Linked DNA regions of Elephas maximus indicus. The protein of the gene in region 1 purifies or fractionates together with the protein of each later gene. This does not show direct contact. Links are inferred from orthologs where the notes say so. Each region holds a gene or a part of one and is shown on either strand. Other genes may lie near its edges. The genes, in order: ACTB, PFN2, CORO1C and MORF4L1.

Evidence for each region.
Region 2: the proteins of ACTB (region 1) and PFN2 purify together in Homo sapiens (affinity purification with mass spectrometry; 3 studies listed by BioGRID and IntAct, counting the BioPlex papers as one, with this or other methods). This does not show direct contact. The link is inferred for Elephas maximus indicus from reciprocal best matches to the Homo sapiens genes ACTB and PFN2.
Region 3: the proteins of ACTB (region 1) and CORO1C fractionate together in Homo sapiens (co-fractionation; 3 studies listed by BioGRID). This does not show direct contact. The link is inferred for Elephas maximus indicus from reciprocal best matches to the Homo sapiens genes ACTB and CORO1C.
Region 4: the proteins of ACTB (region 1) and MORF4L1 purify together in Homo sapiens (affinity purification with mass spectrometry; 3 studies listed by BioGRID, with this or other methods). This does not show direct contact. The link is inferred for Elephas maximus indicus from reciprocal best matches to the Homo sapiens genes ACTB and MORF4L1.

The regions. Positions count from the first base shown.
Region 1 is NC_064830.1:100,217,120-100,225,056, forward strand, and holds the start of ACTB (actin, cytoplasmic 1), read right to left. Parts: upstream 3,124-7,937; 5' UTR 3,027-3,123; intron 1,976-3,026; 5' UTR 1,970-1,975; coding exon 1,847-1,969; intron 1,717-1,846; coding exon 1,477-1,716; intron 1,011-1,476; coding exon 572-1,010; intron 479-571; coding exon 297-478; intron 87-296; coding exon 1-86. UniProt on the Homo sapiens protein: Actin is a highly conserved protein that polymerizes to produce filaments that form cross-linked networks in the cytoplasm of cells.
Region 2 is NC_064841.1:9,982,832-9,990,207, reverse strand, and holds the start of PFN2 (profilin-2), read right to left. Parts: upstream 3,319-7,376; 5' UTR 3,242-3,318; coding exon 3,110-3,241; intron 478-3,109; coding exon 285-477; intron 1-284. UniProt on the Homo sapiens protein: Binds to actin and affects the structure of the cytoskeleton. At high concentrations, profilin prevents the polymerization of actin, whereas it enhances it at low concentrations. By binding to PIP2, it inhibits the formation of IP3 and DG.
Region 3 is NC_064840.1:19,274,299-19,282,565, reverse strand, and holds the start of CORO1C (coronin-1C), read left to right. Parts: upstream 1-4,985; 5' UTR 4,986-5,095; intron 5,096-8,267. UniProt on the Homo sapiens protein: Plays a role in directed cell migration by regulating the activation and subcellular location of RAC1. Increases the presence of activated RAC1 at the leading edge of migrating cells.
Region 4 is NC_064831.1:68,715,262-68,723,173, forward strand, and holds the start of MORF4L1 (mortality factor 4-like protein 1), read left to right. Parts: upstream 1-4,683; 5' UTR 4,684-4,743; coding exon 4,744-4,783; intron 4,784-7,912. UniProt on the Homo sapiens protein: Component of the NuA4 histone acetyltransferase (HAT) complex which is involved in transcriptional activation of select genes principally by acetylation of nucleosomal histones H4 and H2A.

The DNA.
Region 1 (7,937 bases):
ATCCACATTTGCTGGAAGGTGGACAGCGAGGCCAGGATGGAACCGCCGATCCACACTGAGTACTTGCGCTCAGGAGGAGCAATGATCTGGGGAGAGAAGCAGACAATCTGTGTGAGAACTGGGATGTGGCGGCCCTGTGGGACTGGCACATGGTGACAGAAAAGCCTCCTGAACATCCTAGGGAACCACACGCCAAGATGGCTGACGACCGCTTGGACAACCACTGGGACCATCCCACACAATGGCCAACAAACTGGTGGCCGTCTCCCAACTCATGTGACTGGACACACACTCACCTTGATCTTCATTGTGCTAGGTGCCAGCGCTGTGATCTCCTTCTGCATCCTGTCAGCAATGCCCGGGTACATGGTGGTACCGCCGGACAGCACTGTGTTGGCGTAGAGGTCCTTGCGGATGTCAACGTCGCACTTCATGATGGAGTTAAAGGTAGTTTCGTGGATCCCACAGGATTCCATTCCTGGAAGAAAATGGAAGGCAGACTAGATTTAGTTTTGCTGCAGGGACACCTGGCCCTTGTGCAGGGCAGGGGCCAGGAGCCCAGCTTACTCACCCAGGAAGGAAGGCTGGAAGAGGGCCTCGGGGCAGCGGAACCGCTCGTTGCCAATGGTGATGACCTGCCCATCAGGCAGCTCATAGCTCTTCTCCAGGGAGGAGCTGGAGGCCGCCGTGGCCATCTCCTGCTCGAAGTCCAGGGCAACGTAGCAGAGCTTCTCCTTGATGTCACGCACAATTTCCCGCTCAGCCGTGGTGGTGAAACTGTAGCCTCGCTCCGTGAGGATCTTCATGAGGTAGTCCGTCAGGTCCCGGCCAGCCAGGTCCAGACGCAGGATGGCGTGGGGGAGAGCATAGCCCTCATAGATGGGCACAGTGTGGGTGACCCCATCGCCGGAATCCATCACGATGCCGGTGGTACGGCCAGAGGCATACAGGGACAGCACGGCCTGGATGGCCACGTACATGGCGGGGGTGTTGAAGGTCTCGAACATGATCTGTGGGGAAGACATGAGGCCTTGTCAGGCACAGGAAGCTGGCCCTGCCCACCCAAGAGGGGAGGGAACAGCCAGACCAGACCAGCGACATGCAGAAAGTGCAAGGAACACAGCTAAGAGTGCTGGGGGTGGGGATGAGGATTCAGTTCAGACCTACTGTGCACCTACTGAATACACACTCTGAGGCCATCTTACACCAGCCTCTTGGTTCTGGCATAGAACCAGTGTTAGTACCTACACCCACAGCACTAAAGGCTTAAAACACCTAGTCACTGAGACAAACACCAGAAAGAGACTGCGTCTGGGGAAAGGCAAACAGAACCTGTACAGTTCCACAGGAGACTGAGATCAGAGAAGAGACTCCTAGGAGAACGGCAGAAAGAAGGACAAGTGAGAAAGAGCGTGGTGGAGAAAGTTAAAAAAGGGTGGCGGATGCCACCCAACAGGACCCCATCTGGCCACTGACCTGGGTCATCTTCTCGCGATTGGCCTTAGGGTTCAGGGGGGCCTCAGTCAGCAACACAGGGTGCTCTTCGGGGGCCACACGCAGCTCGTTGTAGAAGGTGTGGTGCCAAATCTTCTCCATGTCATCCCAGTTGGTGACAATACCATGCTCAATGGGGTACTTGAGGGTCAGGATGCCTCTCTTGCTCTGGGCCTCGTCGCCCACATAGGAATCCTTCTGGCCCATGCCCACCATCACACCCTGCGGAAGAAGGGCAGGAGGCAGTCAGCATTGACCCCCGCCCATATGGCCTTCCCAAGGTCCCAGGGGCCGCGCCCAAGAGAGAGCCCCACCCACTCACCCACCCACTTCGAATAGACTGTCGCCTTACCTGGTGCCGGGGGCGCCCCACGATGGAAGGGAAGACGGCCCGGGGGGCGTCGTCGCCCGCGAAGCCGGCCTTGCACATGCCGGAGCCGTTGTCGACCACGAGAGCAGCGATGTCATCGTCCATGGCGAACTGCGGGGAGCAGTCTATGAGCAGGACGCCCCCGCCCCGCCCGCTGCGCCCCTCCCCGCTTCCGGCGCGCGGCAGCCTCGGGCCGCCAGGGGGCGCCGGCGCGCGGCCTCGGGACAAAGGAAGCCGGGCCGGCCACGTTATTACCATAAAAGGCAAAGGTTGTTCGGCAACGGCCGCAGGCCAGGCCCCGCCCCCCGAACGCCGGCCCCGCCCAAGCCCCGTTCAAACCCGGCTGGGCGCGCGGCCACACCCTCGGCGGGCGGAGGGAGTTAAGTGCGCGCAGCCGCCTTCACGGCTGCTGCGACCCCACCCCTTCCGGGACGGCCGCCCCGCCCTCACCCTACAGGCCCGGCCCGCGCTGTCCGCGTTCGCGGCTGCCGGACGCACGCGCAGTAGCGCCCCAGCCCCCACACGGCCCCGGCTTGGGCCCGCCGCGCGCTCCCACCCACTTAGCCAGGCGGCTGGCAGCAAGCAGCCTGCCCGCTCAGACAAAGGCTGGGTCTCCCCAACCCCGACCACTGAACCCCTCAGGGCCGTGCTTCCCAAGCCCTTGTTCCCGGGTCTTCACTTGTCGCGGGGCCGCGGTTTGTGGGCAGACACCAAGGCAACCCGGCCAAGGGGTGCTGGCTGCCCAGAAAGAGGGCACGGGGACTGTGCGCGGGGTCCCGCCATTAGCGCGGGGACTGTGCGCGGGGTCCCGCCATCAGCGGGGGGGACTGTGCGCGGGCCCCGCCATTAGCGCGGGGACTGTGCACGGGGCCGCCATCAGCGGGGGGACTGAGTGCGGGGTCCCGCCATTAGCGCGGGGACTGTGCACGGGGCCGCCATCAGCGGGGGGACTGTGCACGGGGCCGCCATCTGCGGGGGGACTGTGCACGGGGCCGCCATCAGGGAGGGGACTGTGCGCGGGGCCCCGCCATTAGCGCGGGGACTGCACGGGGCCGCCATCAGCGGGGGGACTGTGCGCGGGGTCCCGCCATCAGCGGGGGGACTGTGCACGGGGCCGCCATCAGCGGGGGCACTGTGCGCGGGGTCCCGGCCAGGGGCTTACCTTTGGGGTGGCGGGTGTGAATCGGCGGCGGTAGCGGTGCGGTGGCGAAAGGCCTGTGCTCGCGGGGCGGACGCGGTCTCGGCAGTGGCTGCGCGACGCGCCGCCGGGTTTTATAGGGCGCCGCTGCGGCAGCTCGAGCCATAAAAGGCAACTTTCGGAACGGCGGCCGCTCATTGGCCGCCCGCCGCTCACTCACCGGCCTCGCCGCACAGGGCAGCATTTTTTTACCCCCTCTCCCCTCCTTTTGCAAAAAAAAAAAAAGAGAGAGCGAGAGCGAGATTGAGGAAGGGAGGGAGAGTTTTGGCTTTGGCCGCCCTTGGGTGCTGGGTTCGTGGGCCAGGGTGCGCGCCCTGGGCCACCGCCTGCCCCGCTCTCCGCACCCCCTATCCGGGACCCTCGGGGTGTGGATGTCACATGAGCAGTGCACGCCCGATTGGCACGGGTCAGCTTGGGTACTGCCAGAGGCCTGGTTGCTGTGGGCACCTGCTTGAGGAGCAGCGGGAGAGGGGAAGTGAGGTGGGGGCAGTCAGGGGTCACTGCCCGTTGCCAACATTAGCGAAACTGCCTGGACGGGCTGGGGGTTTCTGGCTGGAATGCTCAGCTTGCTACGGAGCAGGGGGGCCCTACTCAGAGGTCTGGGGCTGAGGGTAGGGGTTGGGGGAGTCAGGGGGCTTGTGGCCACTTAGAAGGACCTCAGGGCCCAGGCCCCAGGACCCCAAGGTTTCACTGTGCGGAAGTCTCCCAGCCACCCCAGCCACAGGCTTTGGGCTCCATGGAGCAAGGAAACTGTTCCCATGGTGCCAGGCTGCCTCTGAGGGCTGCCTGGGCACACCCAGGCCAGACCAGGGCCGTTAGCCGGTGGCCGAGCAGCTGCTAGGCCCTGCTGGGCTCAGTACAGCCCTGAGGACTGGGTCACCATCCATTGTCATGTGTAGCTACAGCTGAGCTGCCTACCTGGACCATCTGGAGTCTGCAAAGAACACTGGGGAGGGACACTGCCTGTGCCAGAGAGGAGCTGGGGGACAGTGGTGGTGGGAGCTGTCCTTCAAGAGCCTCTGGTCACTCTTTCTTGCCCTGGGTCTGTTCACCAAACACTGGGCAGGACCTCTATGCCCAGGAGTGTTCCAGGTGGTCAGCAGTGAGTGGCCCACTTCCCTGTTCCGGGAGCTACTAGCCTGATTTGGGTAGCCACATCTTGGTCAGTGTGTCCAGACAGAAGCCCAGGGCCATGGGATCCCAGAGTAGCATGTGGCTCTGGCTAGGGAGGCATGCAGGCCTTCTGGAGCTGGTGACAAGAAGTTGGACTTGCATATGAAGAAAACAGGAAGGTGGTCCAGCTAGGGGCACACACTAGTTGCCACCACTGGTCCATGCTGGACACCCTGTCTGCCCAGGGCTTTGCAGCACATAGCACGTGCTTGGGGAATGTGTGTGGAAATGAAGGCTCCATTAGCCCTCATAGGGGTGTGGTACCTGTGGCCAGGAAAGAGGTGGCAGAGCACTATGAAGATGGACAGAGTGACCACCACCCAGCTTACAGAGGAGGTCATAAGCTCCGAGCCCCATGCACACATTCCCAGAGGCCTGCCAGGTGACTTGCCACTGCTCCACTGTTACCGCCCAGGCCTGGGAGCACTTTCTCAGCCTGTCCACTCCCTGCCTCCCCTCCCTGGGGGCTGGACTGCCCTGTCCCTGGCCTTGTGTCTCTCAGTGGCAGGAGTCTTGCCAGCCGCCTCAGAATCTGCCAACCCTGTGATTCAGCAGGCTGGGGGGCAACCTTTTCCACTCACTGTTGATGAGGCTGTGCTCCCGTTGTGTGCACAGAGCCTAATGGGTGCTGAGCAAGCGGGGCGGGCCAGAGCTATAGGGCAAGGGTCCTGAGCTCTACCTGGCCTCTTCTCAGAGGCCTCTGCCCAGGCACCCAGCCAGGGGCCTGTCAAGTGACAGGCACTCCAGCTCACCTCGCCTCAGGCTGTAACATTCCTGGCCTTCTGGCTCCCTCTGCCTGCAACCGCCACTTCCTTTTGCTCTCCTATGCATCCTGCAAGGCCCATCCAAGAACACCCCTCCTTGGGGAGCCCATTAGCATGGTCCACATACACCCTCCTTCTCACACAAGATCACTGTGCTGGGCCCACATTTATAACTGAACCTTTGGAGGGTCTTGGCCTCCCTACTTCCCACCACATGCACCCCAGGGGCCTACTCTGCTAAATGAAAAATTGACCACCTGTCTGTCCTCAATCCCTGGGAGGTGCAGAAGGTTAACTGAAAAGCTGTAACTGAAAAGCTGGGGCTTCTAGTATACCCAGAGACACTTTGGAAAAAAGGCCCTGGCAATCTATTTTTGAAAAACCAGTCTTTGAAAACCCTATGGAGCACAGTTCTCTGACACACATGGCATTGCCATGAGTTGGAATGGACTCCACGGCAACTGAGTGGCATCTGACTGGGTGTCCTCAGCCTTCAGAGAGGACCCTGTGGAGATGGGGTGCAGGAGGGGGCTAGGGCAGCCAGCCTAGGTGGGGGAGGCGCTCAGTTGGCCAGTAAACAGGCCAGAGAGAGAAAGCAAGCAGAGGAAGAGGAAAAGAGGAAGTGGAGAGCTGGAGGGAGGGGGTGGAGAGGGCAGGAGAGAGGAAGTGAACAGGTTCTTCTTAGCTTGGGAAATTCGCTCTTGCAGGGAGTTTCACAGCTGGGACTTCAGGTCTCGGCAGAGCCACAGCAAGACCTCAGCTGGGGCCCAGCCGCTGCAGACTCCACCTGCTCCCCTGGTACTTTTTCTTTCAGCGCCTTGGTCCCACCTCCATGCCTTTGCTCTAGGGATTCCCCCACCCTGCAAGGCCCCCAGGCAAGGGGACATCTCTAACACGGTGTCTTGTAGCATTTACAGTGCCTATGGAGGGGCCACTCCCTTGAAGCCCCACTGCCAGGCGGGGGTCCCACGCTCCATTTTTTTGAGAAGGGAGGCTGAGCAGGGCAGGAGAACTCCCTTTCTAGACTTTTGGCTCCAGTAGGGCAGAGACCCCACATACAGTAGGTGCTCAGTGAGGGGTGACTGAGTGCTGGAGTGAAGGAGGAGCTGAAACATCTCGTTTTTACAGATGAGGAAACTGAGGCAGGACTGGTAAAGCACGTAGGGCTGGCACCCCTGTGTGAAGGATCCAAACTCCAGGCACCCAGAGGTGGCAGCCTCACCTTCCTTCTGACATTGCCGCTCCCTGGCTAAAGTGTCCCCTGGAATGTCCCCAGGGACCTGGATCAAAGGTTCTTCAAAAGGCTGAATTCCTGGACCCTTCCCTCCTCAACACTTGCCTCCTGAGGACCAGAGAGGACAGCACCAGCTCTTGGTCACACAACAATCCATCCTGAGGCCCCATACCTGCTCTCTCCTGCCACTTCTTGCCCCCATCTCCCCTGTTTCTAGAATGTTCTCAAGGCACAACCCAGACCCCTTTGAGCAACTGGACCTCAGGAATCTGGAGAGCATGTGCTGGGGGTCCCTCTGCCTCCTGCCCAAGATCTCCTCAGCCTTCAGTGTCCCCTCTTGGGCTGCCTCCTCCAGGAAGCCTACCATGACTTCCTCCCTCCTCTGACAGAATAGCAGTAGCTTTCCTGCTCAGAAAGGCAAAGAAGTCCAGCCAAGATCACACAGCAAGGGCACAGCCAGGAGCTGAATCTGAAAGGCCTTTCCTCTGGAGCACCTCCTAGATCACACTGATCCTGCTTCCCACGCACCGATCAGCCAGACAGGCTTCCAGAGTTCATTAGGCACTGTTCTGAGCAAGGATCATGAGTGTAATCCTTGAGACAGACCTCGAACAAAAGAGCAAAGAAAAACAAGTCTAATGCCTCTCTGAGGGCAAGCACAGGTTTCCTTAAGAAGGAGAACCTGAGACCAAATCCACTGCCATCAAGTAGGTTCTGACTCATAGGGACTTTATAGGACAGGGTAGAACTGCCCCGTAGGGTTTGGGGGCAGTTGACCTTTTGGTTAGCAGCTGAGCTCTTAATCACTGTGCCAAAGGACAGTCAGGGAGGGCCTCTCTGGGGAGGTGACAGGCAGCTGAAGGAGGTGGTGAAGAGAAAGGGAGGGTTTCAGAGGCAGGAGGGCTGGGCTGGGCCATGGCCAGGGTCACGGACTCCACCTAGGCCAAGCCTCCAGACATTGCCTTTCCTTGTGCCGGACAGTCGGGGCCTTCCCTGCTCCCAGCCACTCATCTGGCAAGGGGGGACATTGCCCTAGAGAAACTGGGAACTGCTGACGCTTCTTGGGAGAGTTCGAAAAAATCCTTAAAAACTACCCTCTCTCTTGCAGTCCCCAGGGCACCCAGAGAAACCTGCCTTGCCCTCCCGGGGAGTTCCCAGCCTTGCTCATTTGATTCAATTATTCAGACAAAGAAAAAAGTCTCCCTGTACTTTCCCTTCTAGACACACACAGATACATATACGCATATGCATACACACATATACATACATACACATGTACTCTGTACTCATGTACACACATACACACACATCAGCTGGTTCCTTTCTTCTTGTCCCTGAATACGTCGGCCATAGGGCCAATTGTCCCTGTTCTCCAGATGAGAAACTGAGCCAATCCAGATAGACCCAAAGAGCTGAGAGGGAGCCTCCCAGGCAGCCTGGGGTCGGGGGCGGCCAGGGGTCCTGGCTTCCCAGGCCCTCTCGTAAGGTTGTGGTTATTACAGGCGCTTCTTCCAGCCCCTCCCTTGGCTCCCCACAGCTTGCCTGGAGTGGGTGGCCAGCTGGAGGCTCTGGCAACCCTTGGGACCCCTGGGCCCCTCTGCTTGAGATGTTGGCAGCAGTTCAGGCCAAGGGTAGGGGGTGGGGCGGCAGCAACTTCAAGTTCAGTCAAGTGGGATTCTAGGGGCTCTGGGTATTGATGTTTGG
Region 2 (7,376 bases), on another chromosome or scaffold:
GTCAAGCAACTTAAGAGACAAGTGTAGATTTTAAGTTTACTGACGCTGACAATAAAGGCAGGATATGGACGTTTTCTTTGAGAATAAAATCAACCCAAAAGGCTAGGCTTTACATGCAGCTGCTACAGAATTAAGCTAAAGCAGTGCCTCTCTTCAGTGCTGGGCAGTTCACAAAAACCACCTTAGTCGCCATTACGGACTACCACTTTTATACAAAATGTGAACGGAAGTGCTCAGTAAGTTGTAATGTGGCATGCAGTTTTCCAACAGAGCACCCTGCTTACCTCTACCAGCTCTGCCGACAGCAACGTTGTATGTTGGCTCTCCACCTTGACTCTTTGTCCGGATGTCCATTGTGCAGTCACCATCCACGTACAGACTATCTCTGATCACCGAGCACTTCTTTGCACCAAGGGTCAAACCGTTGGTAAAGAAACCTTCCCGGTCTTTTCCTACAATCATATCTATTTCTATTGGCTGCCCCCAAAAAAGAACAAAAACAGACAGACAAAAAACATGAAGTTGTAATTAATTCCTTTCAGGCCTCAATATAACAGGAAGGATGGTGTGCCAAAGTTCTACTGCCACAAGACACCCACATTTCACTAAAGCAAAACCAAGGTTCGGTCTTCTAAAAAATTATCTAGTCCTACCTGGTTACATGTTTTACAGTAGTTCAGATTTCACAGTTAACAATGGTCTGCTAGCTAAAGACCAGTCTACACAAAGAATCTCTCTAATTGGTAGTTGACCCTCCACAAACTTAAGAATTACAAACTACATCAAGTGAGGTGGTGCCTGAAGGTGTCTGTGTAACGGTAAAGATTCAGCCACAAAAGCTTTCAACAACAGTTTGTCTATCATTTTCGGTCACACTACACTCAATCATGTTGCACCAAATTTAAAGTTGCTTGACAGTCTCCCAAAATAAAGCCCATGCTCTAGAGATCTGTTTGCCTCTCTCCGTTGGAGAGCTTGAAATATCCCCCACAATAGGAGCTTCTATCGCTTGACCTCAGCGCCTCTCCAAATTCGTATTTCCCTCGTCGCTGTTTTTCTAACCACTACTCTCTACTCCCTTCCCCTCCCCTCCCACTTCAGTAATCAGCTTTCTTTCCCGGCAAAGGACAGGAGGATTCGGTCTGCAGCGCCGCAGGAGGTGACGGTAAAAGAGAGATGATGGAGGGAGATGGGGAAGAAGCCGAGGTAGACCCCAGGACCCGAAAGGAGAGAAGGAGCATGCTAACATTCCATGAATAAGAAGGAAGGCGTCGCCCCCATCAGAACTGCAGAGTCATGGCAGGCCCCAGCCATTTCCAAGCACACTCGGGCCATCTCCCCAGCCAGACAGCGGGAACTCCCACACAAAGACAGGAGGACTGCAGGAAAAGTTGATCGCCAGACGCCAGTCCTCCGGGAGAACTGCAGCTCCCTATGGGCACAGGAGACCCGACAGTCCTCGTGTCAAAGGCGGAGGTCTACACAATCAGACCTTAAACCCTGTGAAGCAGCAAAGGAAGGATAAGTGGCACCCGTTAAGGGGGACCTGAATTTTGGTGTTTGCTGGGAACGGAGAATGGAGACTAAGAAATGAAAGAAATGGGCCCGTTATTTGACACCATCGTCACAATTTTAGGACGAGCCTGGGGCAGAAACAGGCGACACAATAGGCAGATCCGGAGGCTTAGTGACAAATATTCCCCCAAACATGGGGCAGCCAAGTCACAACCATCAAGTCACAAGAAGCGCAGGCAGGGTGAAGCATAAACCTTCATGAGCTCCTTTAAAGCCCTGACTTAGGAGGGAGGGACTGGGGGCAGTAAGGTGTTCCCCGGGCTCCCAGATGACTGAAGCCCCCCGTCCAAGCACCCCCTTTCCGGAGCTCTGTTGCGTAACTGAGAATAACGGTGTATCGATGAGGCTCCGCGGGAGGAGGAAAGAAATCAATGGCAGTTCGCCATCTTGGAGAATTAAAAGACAACCTATACACCCGGAGCCCCAGTCGGGATTCACGGCCCCACCTACGTGCTCGGCGTGCAGGGCTCCGACCGTCCACGCCAAGTCGCTTCGAGGATCCCGGGCCCCGGCCGCCGCCGCCTCCCCCAGCCCGCCGCGGCGCGAGGTCCGCTAAGCGAGGGGCTACCCGGCCACCGGGGGACCCCGCCCGGGCCCGGGGCGCCCCGGCCCGGAGCCCCGACCCCCGCGTCCCCCCCCTCCCCCCCCGGACGTGCAAAGCCGCCCCGAGCTTGTAGGGGACCCGAGGGCGCCGCGCCGGGGGGGGAAGGCGTCCCCAGCCCGGCCGGTGCGTGCCCCCCTCCCCCCCGGCACCCCGACCCGCTCAGGGACTCGCCGGCGCCCCCGCCTGTCCGCGCAGCCCGGGCGACCGCCGGCCCCGGCCCCCGCACCCCCGGCCGGGCAGCTACACGCGCGGCGCCCGACCCTCGCACACCTCCGGCTCGGCCCTCCGGGCCCCGGCCTCCCCACCCCCGGCCCGGCTGCTGCACGCGCGGTGCCCGACCCTCGCACACCTCCGGCACGGCCCTCCGGGCCCCGGCCTCCCCACCCCCGGCCCGGCTGCTGCACGCGCGGTGCCCGACCCTCGCACACCTCCGGCACGGCCCTCCCGGCCCCGGCCTCCCCACCCCCGGCCCGGCAGCTGCATGCGCGGCGCCCGACCCTCGCACACCTCCGGCACGGCCCTCCCGGCCCCGGCCTCCCCACTCCCGGCCCGGCGGCTGCACGCGCGGCGCCCAACGCACGCATGCCGGCACGGCCCTCCCAACCCCGGTTCCAGCCCCCGCACCCCCGGCCCGGCTGCTGCATGTGCGGTACCCGAGCCTCGCACACCTGCCGGCACGGCCCTCCCGGCCCCGGCCCCGGCCCCGGCCCCGGCCCCCGCACCCCCAGCCCGGCTACTGCATGCGCGGCGCCCGAGCCTCGCACACCTACCGGCACGGCCCTCCCGACCCCGGCCCCCGAGCCCCCAGCCCCGCGGCTGCATGCGCGGCGCCCGAGCCTCGCACACCTCCGGCGCGGCCCTCCCGGCCGGCCCCGCGCTGCGACGCCCGGCCCTGCTGGGGTCCGGGTCCGGGCCGCCGCCGGTCCTCACCGTAATGCTCTGGAAGACGCCCCCGGCCGTGGCGGCCCAGACGTATTTGGCGTCGCAGTAGCCGACAATGGCGGCCTCCTGGCAGCAGCCATCGCACATCAGGTTATCCACGTAGCTCTGCCAACCGGCCATCTTCGAGCCCTTCGCACTGCAGCGCGGACGGCGAGGAGCAGCAGCGCAGCGGCGGCGGCGGCGGCGGCGGCGGGGGGGGCGGGGCGGGGGCGGGGAGGAGGCGGCTCTGCGCAGGCACCGACCGCCCCCCTCCCCGAGGAGCTGCGGCAGGAGGACGCGGGGACGCCGGGGAGGGACGAGCCGCGGGCGCGCCCGGCTCGGCCGCCCGCCGTCCGCCCGCCGCAGCCGCGGGCTGACTAACCAGCGGCGGGAGGCTGCGGAGTGGCTGTGCCGACAGCGGCCGCGCCTGCTCCTCCCGCGGCTCCCTCAACCCTCGCGGCCGCGGCGGGGTGTGTGCGCGCGTACGTGCGATCCTTCCGCGGCGCCCCGACACGGAGGGTCCCGGGAAGGGAGGGGGCTGGCGGCGCGCGGAGGGATACCGCCCCGGGACAATCACGGCCGCCACGTGCAGGCGGCGTCCGCGGGGTCGCTGGCGGCGGCCGAGCCTGGCGCCGGGGCGGCGGGGGCGTCCCCTCGGTTGCCCTCAGCGCCCCGGGGTCAGCACCTGCGGCGGCGGCAGGGATGTCCGGGAGTCCCCGCGGCCGGGCCTGGCCGTACCGCCCTCCCGCGCGCGGCGGTGCGGGATGCGGGCTCTTGAGCGTCAGAGTCGGGTTGCAGCGTTGCCCTGGCGACGCGATGCGGGGCGGTTACGCTCCTTTGTGGTGGGGCGGCTGGCGGCAGGGTCGCCCCTAGGCGTCCCCCGCGGGACCCGGTTCCCAGATCCCTCTGCTCCTCGCTCAGAAAGGTACCCAGCGGGCGCCCCGGAAAGCTGCAGTCGGCGCAGGCGTGGAGGCTCCTGGGGACCCTGCTGAGTTTTGTGGGTCCTTCATTGTTGCCTCTTTTAGGTAAAAGGGGCCTCGCGTTCTTGAGATTCTTTGCCAGGAAGAGCCCTGTTGATGTTACTAGTCAGTTGTGGTCGAATAACTTGTCAATTCCGAACAAAGCCAATAGCGACCTATATAAACTGTTTTTTGGAAACGGAGAATGATACGGGTGGGCCGAGGCAATGGCTGAAAATACAAAGAATAAAGATCTAGGAAAGGACCCACTAAATGAACATAGCGACTTTTCTGCTCTTGAGGGGTAAAATAATTTCAGGACCCAGACCTGAGAAAGGCTCGTATTTACAAGGTTAGCGGTGGGCAGAGCCCCTGGGAACGGCCTCTCGTCGTCTTCGCTACGATTAGACGCGGAATTCAGCGACGTCCCACAACCATGGCACCAGTTTTCACGTGCCAGTGAAAGAGAACAACTTTAAAACGTTGAAAAGTTGATGCCGAACTTGAAAGTTATCGTGTAAGGTCACCATTTGTGACAGGAGAATTACAAGAATGTAGCTCGGGAGAAGGAAGAAAAGAACGTTGCTAGTCCATCTAATAGGTTCTGAAATTTGTGTTTTTCTCCTGTTGGCTTTGAAATGTCCAGCTACTGCAGGGAGAAGGAAAAAAAAAAAAAAAAAGCAGTAGGTTAAACCCCAAATCAGGGACCTATCAGATTGAGACTGTATTTTCTCATGTTCTGAAGACAATACCTAGGTGGTATGAAATGTGTGCAGAAATGTTTCATTTTTGCAAGTGTTCCTTCCACCTGATTTAATTACATTTACTTGGTCTTGTTAACTCCTCTGCCTTTTTGTGATTGATGATGGTTTTAGGATTTTATTCTAACATTTTATCACCTTAAAAGTTAATAGTTACAGGGTGCTGTTAACACGGATATATTCATTTTGTGAGAATTCATCACGCAGTACATTTATGATTTGGGCACTTTGTATATAATCAACAAGTTTAATCAAAAAGTAATGACAGAAAAGAAAAATAATAGTGATGATAGTTTAAAGAAGTACGTTGAAATTGAGTTTTACTTATTAATAGAGCCTGAAGGTTTTTAAGATTTCATTCCAAGAACACTATACTATTGTTACATCAAAAAGTGAGAAATAACTACATTTCATTTTTATTCTTTAATTCTTGGCTTTAAACAGCATAAGAAAATACACACCTCAAAAGATTCTAAAACACGTCAGGTAAAGCATTCGTAAGGATTTAGAATTCCTGTCTTTATTTTTTCTATATTTTTCAAAATGCAACAGTACCTTCTAAAATTACTGTTTTACATTTCCAACATAGTGTTATTTTCTCAAAATGACAGTAAAATTTAAACAATTATGAAAAATATATTCTGCCTGATAGGCTAGTGGAAACCCTGGTGGCGTAGTGGTGAAGTGCTACGGCTGCTAACCAAAAGGTTGGCGGTTTGATTCCCCTGGGTGCTCCTTGGAAACTCTATGGGGCAGTTCTACTCTGTCTTAAAGGGTCCCTGTGAGTCGGAATCGACTCCACGGCAGTGGGTTTGTTTTTTTAATAGACTAACTGAATTTTACACTTTAGTTTTTTTATGTTATATATTCAGAGTCCATTTACCGTCTGTTTTCGCACTCAGATAAAATCATCTTGTGCTTGTTTTCCCTAGAGCCAGATCAGTTTCCTTCCTGGAATGTGCCTTATTTACCATTTGTTAGCTGCTCCTTGGAAGCCCAGTGGGGCAGTTCTATTCTGTCCTATAGGGTCACTGTGAGTCAGAATCCACTCCGCTGGAAATGGATTTGGTTTGGTTTATACAGTGGTCACTTCCTATTTCATATAACTTATTGCTTATCACAACATGTTTCAAAAAATATATGTAGAGGTAGAATACTGAGACTAAAGAATAGCAATATAAGTTAAAACAAAATTTAAAAAAAAGTCATTGTCCTGTTGATTCCTGACTCATTATGACTCTATGGGCACAGTAGAACTGCCCCATAGGGTTTCCAAGGCTGTAATCTTTCCAGAAGCAGACTGCCACATCTTCTTCCTGCGGTGCTGCTGGTGGGCGTAAACCAACTCTCCACTAACCTTTGGGCTAGCAGCCCAGTGTTTGACCACCACGCCACCAGGGCTCCACTTAAGTCCAAAGGAGTATCAGTTATAGAAAAAGAATCACAAACCTGTAACTTAAGTGCAAAGGAGCCCTGGAGGCACAGTGGTTAAGTGCTTGGCTGCTAATCAAAAGGTCTGCTAACCCACCAGCCGCTCCACGGGAGAAAGTTGTGGCAGTCTGCTTCCATAAAGATTACAGCCTTGGAAACTGTGGAACAGTTCTACTCTGTCCTATAGGGTCGCTGTGAGTAGGAATCAAAGGGATGGCAATGAGTTTGGTTTTGGTAACAAGTGCAAAGTGGTAACAATATTAGAAAATGAGTTACCAACCTGTGTCTTTCTCTAAAGGAGCCATGGTGGCACAGTTTACTCTGTCCTCTAGGGTCGTTATGAGCTGGAATCAACTTGACCGCACACAGCATTTTTCTCTAATTTTTTCAACAATAATAGCAACGTCTGGGCAAAAGCTGAGAAAAATTGTGGCTCTTTTGTTGATACATATACCCAGAATGATCTAGCCATCAACAATCAGTATGTTTAAATTTGGGGTACATTATTATGCATTCTTTCCAAAATTTTTTATTCTTATTTAGTAAAACGGAAACAGTTCAGCATACCAGATTGTTTAATGTATAGGTCAAATAGTGCCTGAGCCATGTAAGTTCATGAATAAATCATTTGATATTTCAGCAAAATATAAAGAAACAAGAAATTAAGTTGTTATTGTTAAAATGTACTCAACTTGATACATATTGTGGTAGGAACTAAAACTGTAGAATATAATTGCTCAAACTATAATAAAACCATAATTAAATAAACTCACTCCAACACTTCATTTTTGGAAAAAATGTTTCCGTTATAAAAGTAATCCCACAACAGCCAAGAAAGTTTTAAAAATAGAGAAAAATCACAGCTATTCATGCAATCTAATACAAATGTCACCTTTTGAGTTTATTCGCTTATTTTATGTATGATTTTTATAAGAAAGAACAGTAGTACCTACAATTTTCAATTTGTCAATTTTTCTCTGAAATTCTGTGAATTTTTGCTTTCTGTTTCGAGGCTAATTAAGTGCATACAAGTTGACGTCGTTACATTTTCTCTCTGATGAATTTTGCCTTTATCATTAACTACTGACCTCTTTATCACTAGTGTGTTCTTTCTTGTTGCTATAT
Region 3 (8,267 bases), on another chromosome or scaffold:
CTGGGCTCCACAAGGTTTTCAGTGACGCATTTTTCAGAAGTAGATCGCCAGGCTTTTCTTCTGAGGTGCCTCTGGGTGGACTTGAACCGCCAACCTTTAGGTTAGCAGCCAAGTGCTTAACTATTTGTACCACCCAGGGACTCCTGGGAACAGTAAAACCAAACTTGTAGCCATCCGGCCGATTCTGACTCTTGGTGACCCCATGTATTACAGAGTAGAACTGCTTCATGGAGTTTTTCTTGGCTGTAATCTTTACGGAAGCAGGTTACCAGGCCTGTCTTCTGTGGCACCACTGGGTGGGTTTTAACTGCCAACCTTTCGGCTAGTAGTTGAGCACTTAACTGTTTCTGCCACCCAGGGACTCATGAGAGCAGGAAAGGACTCTCAAATTCAGCATCTTACCTGGCCCCAAATCCCACCATTTGGGACAGAGCCAAGGTTACCTTCAGACCCACAAAGGGGTTGAGGTAGTGTCATGGACTGAATTGTGTCCACCCAAAATATGTGTCAACTTGGTTAAGCCATGATTCCCAGTACTGTGTGGTTGTCCTCCATTTTGTGATTTTAATGTTATGTTAAAGAGGAGGTGTAGCACCCTTAACACCCTTACTAAGGTCATATCCCTGATCCAATGTAAGGGAGTTTCCCTGGGGTGTGGCCTGTACCAACTGTTATCTTACAAGAGATGAAAGGAAAGGGAAGTGAGCAGAGAGGGGGAAACTCATACTACCAAGAAAGAAACACCAGGAGCAGAGCTTGTCCTTTGGACCTGGGATTCCTGCATGAAGCTTCTAGTCCAGGGGAAGATTGAGGACAAGGACCTTCCTCCAGAGCCAACACAGAGAGAAAGCCTTTCCCTGGAGCTGACGCCCTTAATTTGGACTTCTAGCCTACTAGACTGTGAGAAAATTAATTTCTCTTCGTTAAAGCCATCCACTTGTGCTATTTCTGTTACAGCAGCACTAGCTGACTAAGACAGGTGGATTCTAGAACAGCGAGATGCTGGGGTTTACTTCCAGTAAAGGGTTATTCAATTTTCCTGCTGCTTCTAGGAGTAGCAGCTCTCAGCTGACCACATTCTGACAGTGGGGGTGGGGGTGTTTAGGGAAAGTGGCATTGCTTCTGGCTTTGGTACTGTCTGCAAGAATTACCTCTCCAACACAGAGACAAAACGAGGCACTGAAACACACAGCTGTAAGGCAAAAGTCTTGCCATTCTTCTTTCTCCGTGTATTTGATGACCTTCGTGATGGTGTCATCTGGGAGGAACTAGTGTCATGGGAAATCGTACTTCTAATTTCATCATTTAAGGAACTGGGGAGAAGGGAATCAACATGTTTTAAGCACCTACTATTTTATGGCACTGGGTTTTGGGGTTATGTGCTGGGTGGAAACCCTGGTGGCATAGTGGTTAGGAGCTACAGCTGCTAACCAAAAGGTCGGCAGTTTGAATCCACCAGGCGCTCCTCAGAAACCCTATGGGGCAGTTCTGCTCTGTCCTATAGGGTCGCTGTAAGTCAGAATCGACTCAACGGGTTTGGTTTTTGGTTTATGTGCTGGGCATAAGAGTCCTTGGGTGGTACAAATGGTACAAAGTTTGGCTGCTAACTAAAAGTTCAGAGGTTCGAGTCCACCCACGGACAACTTGAAAGAAAAGTCCAGTAATCTGCTTCTGGAAAATCAGCCACTGAAAACCCTATGGAGCACAGTTCTACTCTGACACACATAGGGTCACCATGAGTTGGAGATGACTTAATGGCAACTGGTTTGGTTTTTTTTTGGTATGTGCTGGGCATAGTGCTGGGTGCTCACCATGGGTTAACTCATTGAATCTTTAAAACCACCCCATGACTGAAGCATTTGGATGACTCCCACTTTACAGTTGAGAAGAGTAGGGTCCATAGACTAATGTGATTTACCCAAGGACACCCAACTGATAAGTGGTAGAACCTGAATTTAAATCCAGCTCTGTCAGCATCCAAAGTCCATGGCTTTTCTATTCCATCACGCTGTCATGGAGGCAGTTGAGTGTAACGACAAAGAGCGCAGTACTGCAATTAGATGGAGGCGGGTTCCGGTATTAGCTCTGCCTGGTTCAAGCTGTGTACCTTGGGCAAGTCATTTAACTTCCCAAATCTCAGTTTCTTCACCTATAAAGTGGGGATTAATAATTTTTTCTATGCCCGAGACTATGGCTCCTGGACACCCGGCTAACTCAGAACTGAAGCCACTCCTGAAGTCCACCTTTCAGCCAAAGATGAGACCAAAACCACAAAAACCAAACCCATTGCCATCGAGTCGATTCCAACTCATAGCGACCCTATAGGACAAAGTAGAACCGCCCCATAGAGTTTCCAAGGAGCGCCTGGTGGATTCGAACAGCTGACCTTTTGGTTAACAGCTATAGCTCTTAACCACTCCACACCAGGGTTTCCAAAGATCAGACAGGCCTTATAAAACAAACAATAACACACATGAGGAATGTGCTTCTTAGTTCAATCAAGTGTATGAGACCAAATAGGCAGCGCCTGCCCAAAACCAAAGATGAGAAGGCAGGAAGGGATGGGAAAACTGGAACTGCCCTTCCACACGGAGAACCCAGGGTGGAAAGGGAAAGGAGGAGAGTGCTGATACATTGTGGGGATCGCAACCAATGTCACAAAACAATTTGTGTATAAATTTTTGAATGAGAAACTAATTTGTGCTGTAAACTATCACTTAAGACACAATGAAATTAAAAAAAAAGAATTGTTTCTATGGCCATAGGATTGTTGAGGAGTTTTCAGGCAATTTTGTATGTGAAGCGCTCAGTGTAGCACCTGCTTCTATAAGTCATGAATAAATACTAACGATAATTTGTCTCTAAAGAGTAAACCAGATTGGTTCCTGGTTCAATCTCAAAGAGCTTTATTAACCCTCATTTCCCCCCAAACCAATCAGAACCCACTGCTATCAAGGCACCTCGTTTAATTAAGGATAAGAATCATAACGATAGCAAATTGTTTGCGGGTGTTAGGTCCTTTACCTCTTTATCTCATTTAAATGAAGTAAGTGTAAAATCTTGTGCAGAAAGGGGGCCCTGTTTTTTTTAATTGTACTTTAGTTGAAGCTTTACAGAACAAACGAATTTCTCATCAAACAGTACACACATCGTTCCATGACATTGGCTAACAACCCCACGACATGTCAACACTCTCCCTTCTCAACCCTGGGTTCCCTATTACAGCTTTCTTGTTCCCTTCTGCCTTTCAGTCCCTGCCCCAGGGCTGGTATGCCCCTTTAGTCTTGTTGTGTTCCATGGGCCTGTTCAGTCTTTGGCTGAAGGGTGAACTTCAGGAGTGACTTCATTACTGAGCTGAAAAGGTTTCCGGGGGCCATACTCTGTGTTTCTCCAGTCTCTGTCAGGCCAACAAGTCTGGTCTTTCTTTCTGAGTTAGAATTTTGTTCTACATTTTTCTCCAGCTCTGTCCAGGACCCTCTATGGTAAGCCCTGTCAGAGCAGTCAGTGGTGGTAGCTGGGCACCATGTAGTTTTACTGGACTCAGTCTGGTGAATGAGGCCCTGTTTTTTTGCAGTGGCTACTTGAAGGCAAAGTGAAAGCCACCTCTCCATAACAGCAACAGTAGCAACAGGTACCATTTCTGGTGGGCTTTCCCAAGCCAGGCACAAAGATGATCTCATGGAATTCTTTCCACAATCTTGCAAGGGAGGGACTGCTATTACCCACCCCACCCCCCCATTTTTACAGATAAAGAAATTGAGGAGAGGATAAGTAATTTGCTGTGAAAGTGATTGGTAGACGTTTTGGTTTAGGTGGACACATGTCCCTCCGAGGCTGATGTTTAAAATGAGAGTCCCAGTGTCAATGGCAAACATGCCTGGATTTGGGAAGTAAATAGCCCTAACTCTCAGCAGTTGTTTTGTCAGTTCCGTTCCTCTTGCCCAACTTTCCCAAACCTGAAAGGGACTCTGGCTATTGACAGACAACTTCCTCAAGCTAAATATTAGGAAAGGGCCCTGGTGGTGCAGTGGTTAAGCGCTTGGCTGAGAGGTGAAGGGAACTGCCCCAGGTCACACAGTCTGACAGGTGCAGAGCTACGACTGGAACCAGCTGAATTTCAGGCCAGAGCAGACAAAGTGAAGGACTTTGGCCAGGGAAAGGAAGGGAGGGAGCCTGGAACCTCTGTTTTCTCACCTGCGAAACGTGGTCAATAACAGAACCTCCTGTGTAACTGTGGGGGGTTAGGTGTGTGTGGCCCAGCCCAGGGGCTGCCAATCTGTACTAGGAATGTGGGAGTGGGAGGTGGAGGGAGGGCTGGAACTTTGGCTGGAGGGTGTGAAGGGAGCAGGGGCGGAGCTTCTGAAGCCAGAGGCGGGGCTTCTAGAATTCGGGGCAGAGGTCGGGACTCTGGGATGTCGCGAATAGAATTCCGGATTTGTGGGCGGGGCTTCTGGAAATCGGGGTGGGGAAACGGTGTTTAGTGGCGCCCACGAGTGAGTTCTAAGGCCATGGGCAAGAAGTCGGGTTAGGGAGCCAAGAAGCTGGCTTAAGGGTTTTTGATGTGCAGCGGGCGGGGCTCAGAGAAGCTGATGTTCGGGTTTTAAGGGACTGTGGGTGAATCCTTGCGGGGCCGGAGGGTCCTGGCCCTTCACAGCCTCGCGGACCGATGTGCGGAGCTGTAAGAAGCCTGCGTCGGCTTCTTTGAAGCAATGGGCGTGGCTCGGAGGAGCTTGTGGGCGTGGCCCTGCGGCCTCTTCGATGACTGGTGGGCGGTGCTTACGCTTGGACACCGCCTTCCTCCGGGCCCCACCTACATCCCTCGGCGCGACCAGAGGTGGCGCTAGCGGGCGCGGGGCGAGGGGTGGGAAGCGGGCTTCCCCTCCCGGAAGTGGGCGGGGCCCGCCCCAGTTTGGCGGCCCTGGTTGGGCGCGATGCGGCGCGGGGGCGGGGTCTGAGAGCGGCAGCAGCGGCGGCTGCCCGCGCCCCTCCCCCGCGCGGCGCTTAGTGCCAGGCGGAGGCGGCAGCGGTTAGAGGCTTCGCCCGGCTTTGCAGCGGGGACTTCGGCGGCGGCGGCGCCTCAGGCACCTCGGCCCTGGTGAGCGGCGCGCGCCCGGTGGGGCCGCTCGGGAGCGAGCCGGGCACGGGAACCGGTCCTCGCAGCATGTGCCGGTGCCGGCTGACAGGAGTCGGCGGGGCGTGGGGCAGGGCCCAGTGGAGGGGAGCGGACTGGGGTCCGCGCGTGGAGCGCGGATAGTCGGATCGGGGTCCGCCCCGGCCGATGTGCAGGGGTTAGGGCCGGGGGCTGCTGCGGGAGGCTGGGGATCTGGATGAGGGGAGGTTTGGGGAGAGAACGACTTGGCCTGGGGAGAATGGGCCCGGGTCCGTGTGGGGAGGGGGCCGCTCAGGGGAGGCTTTTAGGGGTTCAGGACCTTCTTGGCCGAGGGAGGGGTGGGGGCTAGTGCGGAGGGGGCTGCCCGAGGGAGGTTTCAGAGGAGTCCGAGACCCCCCTCGATGGGTGAAGTGCTTGGTGAGGAGGGGCCGCTTGCAGCTGGGGAGCAGGGCCCCGAGGCGCCAGGCCTGGGGGCGGGGTTTGAGCCGCCCTAGGGAGCGAATGGGTGGGGGTGGGTAGGGACCGGGCTCGTGTGGGGCCGGCGCGAGGGTGGCCCCCGGGTTTTGGGGGTCGCCGGGCTCTGGGTGCAAGATCAGCTTTGAGCCCTGAAGGTCTGGGGTAGGGGCCCGGGAAGGGCGGGGCAGGGCTGGAGCTGGAGTAATATGGGTGGGGGCGGTTTGGGAGGAGGCAGAGCCGGACCGAGGGATCCGAGGGCTGGGGCTGGCGGGGTGGAGGGGGCGGGGGCGGGGGCAAGAGGAAGACCGGAGCAGGGTCGCTGCAGAGTGGGGGGTCTGGGGCGGAGAGTGAACGGGGAGATCCAGGGATGTGCTCCCCTCTTAGTGGGGCAGCTGGAGGGAGTAATCAAAAGGAGCGGGGGGCAGGTGGGGCTCCGCAGCGCCCCAGTGACTGAGCATGAGGTCAGATGTTGAGGGTGAAAATGCAGGAACCGAGCCCTCCCGCCGTCCACACCGGCGCAGGCACACCACCAGCTCTCTGTCTCTCCAGTGATTTGAATGTGTAGGGGGAAGCCGCAGGCTGCGGGGAGCGAGCGGAGAAGAAAGGGGCTTCCTCTTAGAGGGAGGCACAGGCCCTGCGGTCCTTTTTTGGGAGTGTTCAAAGGGTTTTCAGCGCTGGAAAAGGAAATGTAGGCTTTAACTGCATCATGGTTTAGGATCACACCCTATATTTGGCCTTAATGTAGGCTGCCCTTGTTTTGTGGTGTCTGAAGTGCTTGCTCTACGTGTTGCAAACGTGGGATTCACAGTGAGAAGCAAATTGCAAGTTGTTCATCTACAGGATAGCCTTTCTTTCCCATAAGACATTTTAAAGGAATCGAATTTAGTGCGTGTTTTTAAACTGGTACTGGGTGGCACATATATTGACTTTTGGAAATAGTTATCACAGAATACTAGATCCTCTTAGCACAACCAACCTTCCTGCCTGGGCTTACGTTCTAAAACAGTGCTTGTAGGGCTCTTAGTCACTCTATATAATAATGCATCTCATTGTCCTTATCTGGCAGAAATCCCTCCTGACACCAGGGCCTGCTGGAATAGACAGGAACATGGTTAAGTGTAAGCAGTGGCTAATACATGTCTGTTTAATATTGATTCACTCTCTTCATTCCCTACAAAACTGAAGAAAGCCCCTTTTGGACATGAGCCTGTACATTTAAGAAGGCTGATTTACGGAAACATTTATTTGGCGTGGAGATATGTTCCAGTCATAATGTTAGGATATGAAGCCTAATAGTAAGCACTGGAGCTGAGCAATTGCATAAATTGATAGGGAAGAAAAAAGTGAATTAATACAGAGAAATATACAGTACATTAGACCCTGAAGTACACTATTTTGTGGTAGGTGATAGTCACGTACACTGAGGATTGAACAAAGGTGGGTCATACAAGCCAGGAACACACCTTTTTTCATAAATCCAAAATGTGCCTTGTCTGTGTTTGTTCTTGAGTTCATGTTAACGGTACATTAAAGCCTAATGAATTTTAATAGACACATGCTAGTGAAGGAGCTCTGGTGGCGCAGTGGTTAAGTGCTCGGCTGCTAACAGAAAGGTCAGCAGTTCAAACACACCAGCTGCTCTGTGAGAGAAAGATGTGGCAGCCTGCTTCAGTAAAGGTTACAGCCTTGGAAACCCTATGGGGCAGTTCTGCTCTATCGTATAGGGTTGCTATGAGTTAGAATCAACTCAGTGGCAATGGGTTTGCTTTTTTTTTGGTGGGGGGAGGACATGCCAGTGAAATATCACTGCACACGGTATGGAATTTTTCATGATCATTTATTACTTTGCCTATAGATGACACTAATCAGCATTTATGTCTTTTACTGTCTGTGTAGTTTAGGATTAGATGCAGGATTGGCAAATATTTTTTAAACACTGTTGGATTTTTTAAATTTAAACTGTAGGCTTAACGCATCTGTCACTTCTGGGATCTGCTCCAACCATGAGGAGCAGAGTTGCTCTAATGCCTGTGAAATGGAATGTCCAAAAGGATAAATGATTAGTTTTTAGTTATTATATGCCTGGGAATGTGAAAGCTTCAATTCTCATGATTGCAAAATATTTGTTTCTTAATATTTTACTTTGTCACAAACTGCTGCTTTAGAAACAGGTATTGTTAGTTAGGCTGTTTACCTTTGACCTCTTTTGTGGGTGGAGCAATAATAAATTTGGGTACCACTTTTCATATTCAGGGCGCAAAATCATGTGATAAAAACTCTTAAGCTTATTTTCCGTTTGATACCTTCCTTTCCCTGAGTTCCGAAAACTCTTTTTCTGACACTTCTGGGAAAGTCCTTTTTAACTTAAGATGCCTTTTCTGTATTAAAACAGGAAAACCTCATGAATATTTCAGTATGACCTAGTACCTAGAATGTTAAGTAATTGAATCTCTCTGGGTTTTCATTGCCCTAGTTCAGATCCTTTAAAGTGAGTGAGCAAGATTCTATACGCCGTTCTGAGAGCTGACTCTGTATTTCAACAGTGCATAATGAATGTTTTTAAAACAATAACAGCGTTATTGAGATACAAGTCATTCCTTACAATTCACTCATTTAGAGTACGAGTCAATGGTTTTTAGTGTATTCAAGATGTCTCCAGCCATCACTACAGTCAATTTTAGAACATTTTCACCATCCCTGA
Region 4 (7,912 bases), on another chromosome or scaffold:
GTCTCTTAAATACCAGTATTCAATAAAGCTCTCTTGCTGCTTACCTCCTCCTGTCTCAGTATTGGCTTTGCCACAGGCGGCTGGAACCCACAATTTGCGGTAACAATATCCCAAGACTTCATGCTCAATTAATTTATAAAGGAAACATTTTAAGGACGTGTGCAAATTTCTTGTGGTCCGGTTTATTCAACAAATAAATGGCAAGAAAAAGAGACAGAGAATCAAATGAAATGTGTGGACCTTGTTTGGAACCTGATTTGAACAGCCAGTCTTAAAAATCATGTATGCGGCAATTGGGGGGATCTGAATACTGACTGGATATTTGAAGATATTAAGAAATTGTTTATTTTTATATGTAATAATGGTATTGCCTTAAAAATGTTCTTATTTTTTAGAGATACATACTAAATTATTAATGGATGAAATAGACATGATCTCTGGGATTTGTGTGTATTTATATTTTGGGAGGAAGAATGGGGGAGTACCAATGAGATAAGACTGGCCATGTGTTGATAATTGTAGAAGCTGAGTGAAGGATACACCAGGGTTCATTTATACTATCCCTTCTACTTTTGTTTATGTTGAAAAACTTCCATGAAATGAAATACCATTTGATAATGCAAAAACAAAGTGTCTTAAACGACTTAAACCAGTCATCAAACTTAGCATCACTAATAATTGGACAACTAGATATTATGTGCCTTCTTATGTTGACAGCATAATGTATCATCTATAGTGGAGCCCTGGTGGTACAGTGGTTAAGTGTTCAGCTCCTCTCCCAAAGGTTAGCAGTTCCAATCCACCAGCCGCTCTTTGGAAACCCGATGGGGCAGTTCTACTCTGTCCTGTAAGGTCACTGTGAGCTGGAATTGACTTGAAGGCAATAGATTTGGTTTTACACAATATTCAGTCAACAAAACATTCAACTTGAATCTAATCAAGCCTTTAGATCTAACTTTCGGTTTATAGGAAATACAATGGAGAGAGGTTATGTAACATCATGAGTAAATGATCAGACAAATCCAGAATGTCAGCTAGTCAAAACGCCAATGTCACGAACAGTTATTAATGCTACTACTAATAAAGTGAGGGGGAGCACTTTTTGTGCCAAGGACCCTGCTTAGGAGTCTGATGAAGCCAATGAACTCTTATTCAGAATAGTGTTTTTTAAATACACACAATAAAAACAGGATTTATAAAGAAAATTATATTGAAATATGATTATCAAAAATATTTTAAAATGTGATATGGTGGTATGGTAATATATATGCTTAATTATTAATGCATTAAATAACAAGAACTAGCGGGAAGTCTAGTAGCTACTTACTAGTTTTTAGTTATTTCAAATTAGTGATAAACGTAAAATACATTTGAGATATCTGCAATAACCGTAACATACTATGAAAACATCTATAATTTCTATTGGTGACAAAGCCACAGGTCCTGCTAATACTGCTGTAGTTTGGTACCTTTATTTAGAATGAAAAATTAGATTTTGGTGAAAATAAAGAGGTGAATTTTTTCCCATCTAAGTTCATGGACCTTCTGTATTATATCCATGGACTCCCAGGTTAAGAACCTCTGGTCTAGGTTTTAAAAGATTAAAGAGGTCTGTAATGTACTATCATTTAATGGTTCTTGTTTTGGAAAAAACAAGCAAACAAATATAAAAATATTTTGTGGACAATTAAGGAAATCTGAATACGGAGTGAGTTACATGATTTCAGAGAATTATTGTTAATTTTATTTGGTGTGGTAACAGTATTGTGGTAATTAGGAGAACGAATGCCTTTATATTTTGGAAACGCATACTGAAGAAGTCAGGCATGAAGGGGCATGATGTCTTCACATACACACACACAGCGCACACACATATAGGAAGATGTTTACAATTCCTTTATGTTGAATCGAGATGGTAGATACTGTATTATTCCTTTTACTCTTCTGTGTGTTTGGAATTTTCATAATAAAAAGTAAAAAAAAAAGTGACTTTACGATCTTTTTATTGAGATATAATGTAGATATGGTCAAGTGTATTCACTGTAAGCGTATAGGTTGATGAATTTTTACAGAGGTAAACACCCGTGTAAGCATACTAGCTCAAGATCTAGAACATTTCCAGCACCCCAGAGTTCCCTAGTACCCCTTTCCCAATCAACCTCCCCTTCCACCCCAGTTAATCACTGTCCTAATTTCTATCAGCACTGATAAAGAATATACTCTTTTGTGTCTGGTTTCATTTGCACAACATGACTTCTTGATATATTAAAACAAATTTTTAGAGATTGATAATACCACATTTGGCAAGGATATGGGAAAACAGGCTCTGTCTTAAATTGCTGGTTGAAATGTAAATTGGTGAAGCGTTTCATAAGGCTGTTTAAAATACTCACATCCTTTGACCTAGTAATTTTACATCTAACCCTTTGCCCTTAAGTCGATTCCGGCTAGGGGTCCTAAAACAATAAAAGCAATGTACATGAAGATACAGACTCAAAGGCATAAGTTTCTAATAGTCAAAAATTGGAAGCAACATAAATGTCCAGTAACGGAAATGAGGTTAGATAAATTATTGTATATTTACACTATGTGTCATGGATTGAATTGTGTACCCCCCAAAAATATGTGTAAACTTGGTTTAGGCCATAATTCCCAGTATCGTGTGGTTGTCTTCCATTTTGTGATTGTAATTTTATGTTAAGGGGATTAGGGTGGGATTGTAACACCACCCTTACTCAGGTCATCTCCGTGGTCCAGTGTAAAGGCAGTTTCCCTGAAGTGTGGCCTGCACCTTTTACCTCTCAAGAGATGAAAGGAAAGGGAAGCAAGCAGAGAGCTGGGGACTTCATACCACCAAGAGAGCAGCACCGGGAGCAGAGCGCATACTTTGGACATGGGGTCCCTGCGCCTGAGAAGCTCCTTGACCAGGAGAAGATAGATGACAAGGACTTTCCTCCAGAGCCGACTGAGAGAGAAAGCCTTCCCCTGGAGCCAATGCCCTGAATATGGACTTGTAACCTACTAGAGTGTGAGAAAATTAATTTCTTTGTTAAAGCCATCCACTTGTGGTATTTCTGTTATGGCAGCACTAGATGACTAGCACACTGGACTGGAACCCTTGGTGGTGTAGAGGTCAAGAGCTGCTGCTGCTGACCAAAAGGTCTGCAATTCGAATCCACCAGGCGCTCCTGGGAAATCCTACGGGGCAGTTCTACTCTGTCCTATAGGGTTGTACAGGGTGGCTATGAATCGGAATCGACTGGACCGCAACGCGTTTGGTTTTGGGGTTGGTTTATACTATATGTCATGAGGTATTAAAGGTGTGAGATACAGCTATATATATAATTGGAATGACCTCAGGCCATACTATTAATTTAAAAAAGAAGACGACCCAGAACAATATGTGTAGTCCACTTATGGTAAAAGAAAAAAAAAAAAAATTGGGGCTGAGAAAGATGTATACACCAAATAGTGGGGAAGCAAACTGGGGAAAGTAAAAGGGGCTCCTTAAATTTTGTGCTGTATTCTGTATTTCTGAATTCTTACATCGTGTACAAAAGCCATGAAAACAAGGATTTGTATAAGGCCTCTAGATAAGCTGGGAACTGTGTGTGGAAGGAAATTAATCTCCAGACTAAGGATTTTGGGATATATCCTCGAGTTAATGTTTAATGAGCGCTTATTCACTGTTTTTTTTGGGTGTGTGTGTGTTTTGTGTTATTCACTGTTAGGCACGCCGCTAAGCCTTTACGTGCAATTCTCATAATAAATCGGTTGAAAAGATGCTATTATCATTCCCATCTTGTAGCTGAGCAAACTAGGTACTGGGGAACGACATGGGGAAATCCGTTTGTTTAGACTCTGTGTATTTTGAATAAGACTTGCTCAAAGCAATTAGGTGACAACAAATGGCACAGATGATAGGGCAGGTGCAGAACCCCGAATTTGGCGGTGTTTGGTATTACTCACTTTAGAGTTTTTTGGCGGGCACAAATCCATTGATCTCAAAAAGCCAAAGGTCGATCCCCTAGTCTGCCTAGTGTTTCCCACTTCATCTTCTTCCTCATTGCCACAGGAACAGGGCTGGAGAAGAGGGGGCCTGGCTATCAGCTCCACCGAATATACCATCAGTGATCTTCCAGACGCATACCCTATTTCCCACCCCCTTCCCGCCAGAGCCCGTAAAGCTTTCCTACTACTCTGGAAAAGCTACTGAAAGTGAGTTTCAGGGGCAAGGCTACTGCAACGCCCACATCATTGCAGCCTCATTTTGCCCATGGGATTTAGCCTTTCCCATTCTTTTACTGTTGGTGGTCCCCAGCAACAACACACAAAATCAAATCCAGGCTTTAAGAACTCCGGATGGGCCAGGGGATGGAGAATGAGAGGCGGGAGGTAAGGAACGGGTGGTGGGGAATAAGAAGCGGGGGATGGGGAAGGGAAGAAAGAGACACCCGCCCCTCCCCCCACTCCGTCGCGACTCAACTGACTTGGAACTACCAATCCCGGCGTGCCCCGGGACGGCGCCGGCGCAGGAGCGCGTGCGCGGCGGGCAGCCGTTGGCTGAAGCTGCGGCTGCGCTGGTCGCGGTGCTGTGAGGTCTGCGGGCGCTGGCAAATCGGGCCCAGGATGTAGAGTTGGCGGTGCCTGACGGCGCGTCTGAGGCGGAGTTGGGTGGGGTAGAGAGTAGGGGGCGGTAGTCGGGGGTGGTGGGAGAAGGAGGAGGCGGCGAATCACTTATAAATGGCGCCGAAGCAAGACCCGAAGCCTAAATTCCAGGAGGGTGAGTCCGTTTTTTTGGGGAGAGTGCATCTAACGGCTCGGGAGAGGGAGGCGGGCTTGGGATGGTTGAGGTTTGGGGGTCGGGGGCGGTACGGGCTGCCCCCCGAGAAGGCGTCAGGCAGTGCTTTGTGCAGGCAGAGCGCATTGCGGAGGACAATTTTCGTGCGTCATTGGGGAAAAAACGCTCTGTGAGACGAGTGGGAGAGGGAACGCTTTGCGCGTGGCAGAACCTTAGTCAAATGTTTGTTATTGTTCTGAGGAAGAGCGCGGGGAAAGCAGCCTATTGTAGGGAGGCGACGGATGCGCCATGGCGGCCGTTAGGGGAAGTGATGTGGCGTGGGGGGAGGGGAGTTAACGGCGGTCGTTTTCGGGCGCTTTCGCGGGGATGCCGGCTGCGTGGGCGGCCAACGGCAGGCAGGCCGGGCTGCTTCGAGCCCCGAGGTGGTCGCCTTCTGTGGCGACTCAGAGGTGCGGCAGGGGGGTGGGTTTGGTGCCTCGGGGCGGGAGAGCCGCGTTGTAAAATGGCCGCTGCAAAATGGCCGCCCCATCATGGCCGCCGGCGTCTCGGCCGGGCCCGCAGAAGCTGCTTAAGGGCAGCTGCAGCGCCCCCATCCACGACAACCATAAGCGTTCCCTACCGCTTACCTCAGCGAGGTGGGTGGGGACAAAAAAAAAAAAAAAAAATAGCTTTTTCCTCTGCTTTGTGTTGCCTGAAGGCATCACTTTGCTTTCCTAAGACTGGAGTGCCAAGATTGTATATGAGTGTGAGTGTGCGCTGTTGCTGTGCAGTTGCTCGTTAACACAAAATGACTTTAATGCGGTGTTACTGATGTTTCCATTTATAATAAGTCTCGTTGCCTTGGTGTCGTTTTTAAAGCAGCAGGTATTTGACTAATTGCAATAACTTTTGATTAACAGTGATTGGGAAGTTGGATTTTTTTTTTTTTTTTTATCAATTGGCTTTTGATGGACAAGTGTTTTGGCTGGCGTTAGAACCTGATCTCCAGTGGTAGACAGCTCTTTAATTTTCACAAACAACACATCTACCCCAAACCAAGTATATAGTATTTTTAAGGACTGTTTAAGTTTCCAAGGGTACTTTTGATGAATATTGCTACCTTTTCCCATCTTGAGAAGCTAGCTCTACCGTACCTCTTACGGATTTATTATCTTACTAGGTGCTTTAGAGCAAAAATGCTTAATCTAGGTTCAGTTTATGGAATTCAGAGGGTCCGTGAACGCGGACGGGGGAAAAAATCTTTTTTTTTTTTCTACCTTCTAACTAAAACACTTAGTATTTCAATTATGAATGTAGACCCCCTGAAAACAAAATACCGATAGTAGTATTAGCAGTAATATGACTTTGTTACCAATAAAAATCTCAGATATTTTCATATCCTAACATTACAGTTCTGGAAGATATCTTTAGACATCATGTATGCTCCCCATTACTTCAAAATTATGGTAATTACTGGATCAACAGCTAAATTTTGTTTATTGCATTAAGGAGCACATATAATACCACAGAACATAATATTTAAAATATTTGGTAACTATTTCAGTATAGTTGGTTTCCTTTGTAATACTTTGTTCTATGCGTTTAAAAACTTCCTAAGCCTGTGAGGGGCCTGTTGTAGGATATGGAAAGAGGAAAACGATTGAGGTCTGGCAGTCAACGATGGCTTTCTGGAGGAAATGCTTTAGTTCTAAGCTTGAGAGATGGTGGAGTGAAGTGGATAACAGCAAATAATGTGTGTATTGCTATAGTGGTGGATTGGAGGAGAGTAGGAACCAAGGTTAGGACAGGTAAGGTTTTGAAAGTTAGGCCGGTTGTCTCTGCACTTACCGTCCATTACTTTTCCAGGTGTGTTTTCTACTGAAGTCAATACTGAATCATAGAATCATCTTTAAGAAGTTATACTTATTTATGAAACATGTTTAGAGGGTTTTGAAAAGAATATTAATGCTAACAATTACCTTGAAACAGTGGAAAAGTTCAGTTTATGAAGTAAAAAATAGGGATATGAATTATGAAAGTGTGGAAATAGCCTTTTTAATTGCTTTTCATGATTCTTGAAGGTTTCTCGTTTAATAAAGATACAGAGTATGTTATGTAAGCAATTTCTGAGCACAGTGACTACTTTGCACTGGACTTGGTCTTCCACTTGAATGTCTATTAAAGCACAGGGTAAAGGAAACTTAGGGGTCCAGCCCATTGTCAGGGGTTAAGAGACTGGCAGATGATGGCATGAGAGCAGTGTTCTTAGGAAGCACAAACCAGTAGGAGGATGGGGAATTGGAAGCTCATCAAGCTTGAACTCGAGCATTGGGTAGAATTTCCCTTGTAATTTGATGCTTGAAAGGATGAGGAAAAAGATGGAGCAGAGGAAGGCATAAGAAATCACATCCGAATGGTGTTTTGCTCTTTACTCAATTACTAATCTGTTGCCATGAAAAACAGCCATTTGTCATCATGTGTCATACTCCCTAGCAGCTCTGTATTTTGTTCTCAGCAGAAATACAGGACTAGGTAGGAGGTCATAAGACCTTAGCCTTAGTGTGATTATTTTTGGCAGCAGCAGCAGCCAAAACAACAAAAAACCCTGTGATAGACCCATTTTCAGAACACCTTTAGAGTGCATCTGAAGAGAGAAATTAGGAAGCAGATCTGATCTCTGGTGCTGCTGCTTATTAGCACTATAGCTAATCTGTATCCCCACGTTAAATTGCCCACAGTACTCAGTGATGATTCCAGCCCAGCTCTCCTTGGCTTCGCACATGTGCACCTGTTCATGAGATATTTCCATTTTGGAGGTGCTGTAGGCACTGTTACATAGTCCAAAGTTGATCCGAACCCTGCAGCACCCATTTCATGTTCTGGTTAATGCTCCCACTAGCCTGAGAGTCTGTCTGAATCTTTTTTGTTTTTGTCTTAACTGTCCTTTACTCCTTACTGCTTTTGGCTTTGGTTCAGACGCATTCAAGTTCTTACCCCTGGACTGTTGGAGAAGTCTTTGACTGGTGTCCCTGTTTCCAGTCACCTTTAATTCAAGCTCTGCATGTCGTTAGTTGCCATCGAGTCAGCTTTGATCACGGAGACCTTATTTATAATAGCATGAGATGTTGCCAG